2 linked regions of the Oryctolagus cuniculus genome follow. The protein of the gene in region 2 interacts with the protein of the main gene of each other region in a pairwise test. Links are inferred from orthologs where the notes say so. Each region holds a gene or a part of one and is shown on either strand. Other genes may lie near its edges.

Region 1 (3,737 bases), on a different chromosome or scaffold from region 2:
TTCCCCCATACTGGACTCTGATACCGAGGTATACCAAAGCATGCTTCCCAAATCTCAAATGTCCTATAAACTGCCTTGCATTTTTCAATAATGCAGAAGCTGTGAGTTTGAGCTAAGACTGGTCAACAGGAGCAAAAACGTGAGCTGCCACCGGGCTGGCCTTAGACTCTCAGAGAATCACCTGCTCCAAGCCATGACTGCGAGGTGCAGCCGTGTGCAGGTCATTCTCCCTGCGCAACTGGAATTACCGCGGTTAGCTCTGGCCCATACGGGAACACTAAGACACACAGGCACAAGGAAGGCCTGGGCCACACAGCCAGCGCGAGCAGCTGGAAGGCAGCCTCCCGGGTCCCTGCGGGATCGCAGGTCACACAGGCTCCCTGCTAATTAGTGTAGACGCCCTGGTGATTCACACGGTGGAATGCTGAAGCCAAGGATGCCGCCTAATAGAGGGGCCGTTGATACGGCTTTATCTGTGAGGTTCCATAATCACCCTAGTGGGGAAATGCCATGCGCCATACAGGAGCGTGTGCCCTGTGCCCGGGAATAAAGGAGGAGTGCCCCGCCCCCGGAATTACTCTCCTACCGACAATAGGAGATGTGCAGGAAGAAACGCACTGCCCCAGACTGGGCCAGTGACTTGCTTAAACACAAACAAAAGCAGGGCCCGGTGGAGGCTCTCTGAGGACAGTCACCTCGTCCACTTTCACGTGCTGAGGCTTAGCCAGACGGCTGCCCCCACACCTGTCGGTCCTTCCACAAGGAATACAGAGGCCTGTTCTGTGTCCAGCCTCCTGGGATAGGAAAGTCCCTACCTGGAGTCCCCTCTGCCTCTTTCTTTTATTTCTGCAAGCATCGTTACCTGTCATCCTCTTTCCAGCCCTGAGCCCAGGAGGGGGCCTTTCCTCCCACTTTTGTCTGCATTCTCTGATGGAAATCACATCGAGTCTCCCGCGCCCCACCTGCCCCCACCCCGGGACGCTGCTGGAGAAGGCGGGACGGCGACGGTCTGGAGGCCGGAAGGGAGGGGCGGGGCTGTCCCCGGCACCTGTCACCTGGCAGTCCCCCCAGCCCCACCCGCCCTGCAGCACGCCCCGACTCGGACTGGCCCGGCCTCCAGCCACCGACCAATGGCCGAAGGGCAGGGCAAGCTGAGCAAGCCGCGGCAGCGCAGCCGGGTCCCCGCCCTGTTCCCGGTTCCCGAGCCGGGCGCCGGCGGCCTTTAAATGCCGCCTAGGGCCGGCGCGACTCGGCCCCTGCCACCTTTCTTCCTCGGGCGACGGCAGCACGGCCGCAGCGGCGCCAGCCCGGACTCGGCGGCAGCAGCCGCGCTCCGGGCAGCAGCCGCCACCTTCGACCTCCCGGCCCGCGCCGCCGCCCCTCCCCTCCCATCCCCTCCCCCTCCTCCCCAGGCCCTGCCAGCCCGGTCGGCGCCGGGCCCCCGGGCGTGCGCGCGCACCCGTGTGTGTGTGCGCGCCCGCGCCGCCTCGGACCCGCGCCTCCGCTCGGCGCACGGCCGCCCCGGGATCCCCGCCCGCGCGCCGCGTCCCGCGTCCCCCTTGCTCGGTCGCCTGCCGCGCGCCCGGCCGCGCCGTGCTAGAACATGGCGGGATCGGTGGCTGACAGTGATGCCGTGGTGGTGAGTGTGGCGGGGCGCACTCGAGGGCCCCCTTCCCGCCGCCCGCTCCCGCGCCAGCCGCGGCTGGGGCGGGGAGAAGCAGCAGGCCCGGCCCGGTGCCTCGCGCTTGGGAAGGCGACGGGTACCTGCGAGCCGGGGCCGGGGCCGGGGCCGGGGCCGTGCGCGACCGGTGGGGGGCGGGGGGCGGGGACGGCTCCCCGGCCGGAGACGCCGCGCGGGGAAGCGGTGAGGCGCGGGGAAGGTGCCGAGCGGGCCCCTCCGTGCGGGCAGCCCCGCACCAGGTGTGTGCGCGGGGCTGGCGTGAGTGCGCGCGGGGGAGTGTGTCCGGGGCGCGCGCCCCGCCACCAGTCCCGACGTCCCGGGGATTCCCCCTTGGAACCGGGCCCGCGCTGGGGGCTCCCGACAGAAGTTGAGCGCTGCCGCTGCACTTGGGCCGGGTCCCCTTCGCGGGCCCGGGCTACAGCGGTTTCTGGAGCGTTTGCGGTTGGAGTCGGGCATGCCCACCTCCAGAGGGGGCCCTGGCCTCCCCCTCCCCCGCGGTGGGCCTCGACCTGGATTTGGATCCGGATCTGAAGGGTCTGCGGCTCGGCAGAGGCTTAGCCACCGGGAGGAGGGGGACGGGTTTTGTTCCGGGGGCTTAGGCGGTTACTTAATGGACGTAGGAAGAGGCATCGCCCGCAGACACTGCCTGTGCGTCTGGGCAGGGCTGCGGGGCTCGGCTGGCTTTGTAGAGGTGCTGGCCTCGCTCTCCCGCCCCCAGCCCAAGGAAAGGGCCGGTGGAGAGCCAATCTGTGTGCTTCTATTTTTAGAAACTAGATGATGGGCACTTCAACAACTCCCTGGGCTCTCCGGTTCAAGCCGACGTGTACTTCCCACGACTGGTAAATGATTGCCCTCCTCCTGTGGTCTCTTCCGAAGTGTGTTTCCTAACGGGTCCGGTCCTCGGGACCTGAGGGCCTGGCTCTTTCCCAACCGGCTGCAAACTTCCTGTCTCTCCTCTCTTGCCTTGCAGATAGTTCCATTTTGTGGACACATTAAAGGTGGCATGAGACCGGGCAAGAAGGTGCTAGTGATGGGCATTGTGGACCTCAACCCAGAGAGGTAAGGGCGAGGCCTGGGCCCGGCAGAAGCCGCAGGCAGTGGCCAGGCCTGCGGGCTCGGTGCTGGGCCAGCGCTCGGCCCCTGCCTCTCCTCGTGGACAGTATTGCTGGTTGGGATGCCAAGAAAGTACCAAGTTCCCATGAAAAGAATGTGTATGAATCCCAGCCCTCCGTGCTGTAGACTGCTATTTATATCAGAGATGATAAATATAGGTCCCCGTTTCTCTCTGACCTTTAGGGAGGCCAGAGGATTTTTTTCTTTTTTCTTCTTCTTTTTTTTTTTTTTTTTATGGTTTTAAAACATGGTGCATGGAAAGCAAGAACTACCAATATAAATAAGAACCAAAACTGTACACGATGCTATTTCCCCTGGTCAGTCTCTGAGATGGATTAGGACCCAGATGTGTGGTGGCCTGGGGTATTTGAAGTCTCTAATTGTGGGCGTTTTCAACTCCACCAAAGTGGTCAGCAGAGTCTGCTGTAGAGAGCAGAGTTCCCCGGGGTGAGTGCCAGGGCTGTTGAAAGCAGAGAAAGCCAGAGGGGGGGGAGGAGGAGAAAGAGGAGGAGGAGGAGGAGGAGGACGGGGTCGCTGTGAGACGTCTTAGAGCCAGCTCTGCTTTTCAGCTTCGCCATCAGCCTGACCTGCGGGGACTCAGAAGACCCTCCTGCCGATGTGGCCATTGAACTCAAGGCTGTGTTCACGGACCGGCAGCTACTCCGAAACTCTTGCATATCGGGGGAGAGGGGAGAAGAGCAGTCGGCGATCCCTTACTTTCCGTTCATCCCGGACCAGCCGTTCAGGGTGAGTCCGAGTGCTTCAGGCCCAGCGGCTGGCACGGGGATGCTGTGCTGTGCTACTTAGCTGGTGCGTGCCAAGAGCAGCCAGGATTTCTGCATGTCCAGGAACTTTGCCGGGTGATGAAAGCAGATAGAAAAGTCAAAAGAGGCGTTTGCTGATAGAAATTGATAATTGCTTTGGTAACTCTGGGCTTTATTTA
Region 2 (3,637 bases):
GCCACCACACACAGCCTGCTCAGGGCCACCACACACAGCCTGCTCAGGGCCACCACACACAGCTCAGGGACACCACAGCCAGATCAGGGCCACCACACACAGCCCAGGGCCACCACGGCCAGCTCAGGGCCACCACCCACAGCCCAGGGCCACCACACACAGCCCAGGGCCACCACAGCCAGCTCTGGGACACCACAGCCAGCTCAGGGCCACCACACAGCCCAGGGCCACCACAGCCAGCTTAGGGCCACCACACACAGCCCAGGGCCACCACAGCCAGCCCAGGGCCACTACAGCCAGCTCTGGGACACCACAGAAAGCTCAGGGCCACCACCCACAGCCCAGGGCCACCACAGCCAGCTCAGGGCCACCACAGCCAGCTCAGGACCACCACACAGCCCAGGGCCACCACACACAGCCCAGGGCCACCACACACAGCTCAGGGCCACTACAGCCAGCTCAGGGCCACCACAGCCAGCTCAGGGCCACCACAGCCAGCCCAGGGCCACCACACACAGCCCAGGACCACCACAGCCAGCCCAGAGCCACCACAGCCAGCCCAGGGCCACCACACAGCCCAGGGCTACAACACATAGCCTGCTCAGGGCCACCACGCAGCCCAGCTCAGACAGGCTTGCGCCAGCAGGGGACGCCGCGGCCCCGTTGCAGGCAGTGACGCAGGCTCACCTTGATCTTCTGTTCCTGGTCGGCCTTCACCTCCTGGCTGGCCTGCAGCTCCTGGATCTTCTGGTTAGCTTCCTGCCACTGTCTGTCACAGGACGACAAGGCATGCGGTGAAGCCAGCGACCCCCTGCCTGGCCCCCAGACACGCTCCCCCTGCAAAGACACCCGGCACCCTGGGCTCCAGCTCCTCACCTCACAGGGCGGGTGGGCAAGCCCAGACCACCCACGAGGTCCTTCCCAGCTGTGACCCCCCAGGTCCCCCACTCCCAACACCGCTCACCCCACACCATCTGCCTGCCCCGGGGCAGCTGCAGCGGGCTGCCCAGGACTGACCACTCCCTCACCCCTGCTTCAGCTCCGGTCATGCCCGGCCTCTGCCCAGCTTGTTCCCAGCCCCAGGACGCGCCCTCCCCACCCTATGACCTCGGGCCTGACTGAGGAGTCCCAGCGGGCTGCCGTCATGCGCGATCTGGCTCAGGGCCCCCAGGTCTGGGCACCAGCCCCTCCTGCAGCCGGGGCAGGCCCCCCCGCACCTGTGCCGCAGCTCCAGCTGCTCCCCCAGCTCCTGCTTCTCCGACTCCAGGCGCTTCAGCTGCCTCTCCTGGTCCGTCAGGCTCCACTGCAGCTCCGAGACCCTGCCCTTCAACGCGTTGATGGTCTGCGGAGAGGGGACACAGCAGCCGCTCACCGAGGCTGGTCCCAGTGCTTGTCAGGGGATGAGGCTTGTCTGCAACAGGGCGAGGACAGACCCACGCCCGGGGCACACGTGATGGACCCCATGCCTGACAGCCTGCCAAGGGCCTCCAGCAACATGAAGTGCGTCAGCCAGGGTGAGCCGGGCCTTCATGCCCAGGGCCCAGCGTCCACCTGGCACACACCCCTGCATCCCCACTGCGCTCAGCCTCCAACCCCAGCAGCGCCACACAGGAGGGAGCTGACCTCCAGGCCAGCGGGGGGGGGGGGGGGGGGGGGGACTTGGAGGGCTTGGAGAGCAGCGGGCAGGACCTGGGAGGCAGGCCCGAGCACAGCCAGCAGCCGCCAGGACCGCCAGGACCGCCAGTCCAGCTAGCCCCTCCGGGCCACCCTTGGCGTGCCTCGCGCCTCTCCGGGACCTGCTGATGACCTCCCACACCGCGTTCCTGGCTCAAGTCAGCACAAAGGCCGGCCCACTGAGAAGCGTCACACACATGGGCACACAGAAACCCCCGGGGAACCCACACAGCAAGCCCGCCACAGTGACTGGAGCTGGGCAGCCCCCCAAGCGGCTCACTCTGTAAACAGGCCCAGCACTCGGCTGCAGGGCCCCGAGAGCCCGTGCCCAGCCTTCACCCACGGAACGCACGGGGTGCCTCTCACCCCACAGCCCACTGGGGGCTGACACAGGCCTGTGGGAAATGGGACGCAACACACACACGCTGGGGGCTGACACGCCCACGCTCATTCAGCACACTGCAAGGGACCGACTCAGGAACCAGCAAAGGAGAAAGGTGTCAGACACCTGACGAGGAGCACAGGCTGACACACAGGGCCCATGGGACACGGGACACGACACGCACACGCTGGGGGCTGACATGGGGCCAGTGGGACATGGGACGCGACATGCACACGCTGGGGGCTAACACGGGCCTGTGGGACACGGGACACGACACGCACACGCTGGGGGCTGACACGGGGCCCGTGGGACACGGGACACGACACGCACACGCTGGGGGCTGACATGGGGCCAGTGGGACATGGGACGCAACACACACACGCTGGGGGCTGACACAGGCCTGTGGGACACGGGACGTGACACGCACACACTGGGGGCTGACACGCCCACGCTCATTCAGCACACTGCAAGGGACCGACTCAGGAACCAGCAAAGGAGAAAGGCGTCAGACACCTGACGAGGAGCACAGGCTGACACAGGGCCCATGGGACACGGGACACGACACGCACACGCTGGGGGCTGACATGGGGCCAGTGGGACATGGGACGCGACACGCACACGCTGGGGGCTAACACGGGCCTGTGGGAAGCGGGATGTGACACGCACACACTGGGGGCTGACACGGGGCCCATGGGACATGGGACGCGACATGCACACGCTGGGGGCTAACACGGGTCTGTGGGACACGGGACGCGACACGCACACGCTGGAGGCTGACACGGGCCTGTGGGAAATGGGACGCAACACGCACACACTGGGGGCTGACACGCCCACGCTCATTCAGCACACTGCAAGGGACCGACTCAGGAACCAGCAAAGGAGAAAGGCGTCAGACACCTGACGACGAGCATGCCCTTCTGGAGGCCCGTGGGACGCGGGACGCGACACGCACACGCTGGGCACAAGGACAGGCAGCCCAGCCTCGCAGAGGCTGCACCGGGAGCAAGCAGACAGGCAGCAAGTGGACAGGGACCCCTGAGGGGCACTGTGATGCAGGAACACAGCTGGCGGGGAAGGCCATGGACTTCCTCCTGGGCCTCCTGGGGGAGGCCACTCAGGCCGGCAGGTGGGGAGCGGCAGCCACGTCCTGGTGCCCCCCCACGGGCCCCAATCAGGCCTACGGCCGCCCCCTCTGCCCTTCACTGAGAGGTGTCCGACGGCCCTCCCCAGGGGACTGCAGGCCACAGCTGCAACAGGCGAGTGTGTGAGGCTGGAGCGGACTTCTCTGGACGCGGGCCACGCCTCCCCTCCTGCCAGCGCCCCTTCAGCAGACAGACGTGGGGACAGCCTTAACACGTCCCCGGCACTGCCAAGGCAAACACAACCTGCAGGCCGCCGCGAGGAGCGCGTGGGGACGGAACGCCAACCACCCCGCGCCTCCCGGCAGCTCCTCCGTGGCTCCACACAGCGCCGTGATGCTGAGCGCCACGCAACAGGGACGGGCAAGGCGCGGGCCGTCCAGCTCCCAGCTCTCGGGCACACACGCCTCCCCGGGGCCACAGCGCCCGGACACCGGCTTCA

The links. The genes of interacting proteins can lie anywhere in the genome.
Region 1: the proteins of MAD1L1 (region 2) and LGALSL interact in binary tests that used the Homo sapiens proteins (3 or more experiments, as listed by UniProt). The two-hybrid records come from large-scale screens. The link is inferred for Oryctolagus cuniculus from reciprocal best matches to the Homo sapiens genes MAD1L1 and LGALSL.

What each region holds. Positions count from the first base shown.
Region 1 is NC_091433.1:138,337,461-138,341,197, reverse strand, and holds the start of LGALSL (galectin-related protein), read left to right. Parts: upstream 1-1,189; 5' UTR 1,190-1,603; coding exon 1,604-1,639; intron 1,640-2,448; coding exon 2,449-2,520; intron 2,521-2,651; coding exon 2,652-2,740; intron 2,741-3,363; coding exon 3,364-3,541; intron 3,542-3,737. UniProt on the Homo sapiens protein: Does not bind lactose, and may not bind carbohydrates.
Region 2 is NC_091450.1:37,072,162-37,075,798, forward strand, and holds part of MAD1L1 (mitotic spindle assembly checkpoint protein MAD1), read right to left. Parts: intron 1,343-3,637; coding exon 1,218-1,342; intron 770-1,217; coding exon 688-769; intron 1-687. UniProt on the Homo sapiens protein: Component of the spindle-assembly checkpoint that prevents the onset of anaphase until all chromosomes are properly aligned at the metaphase plate.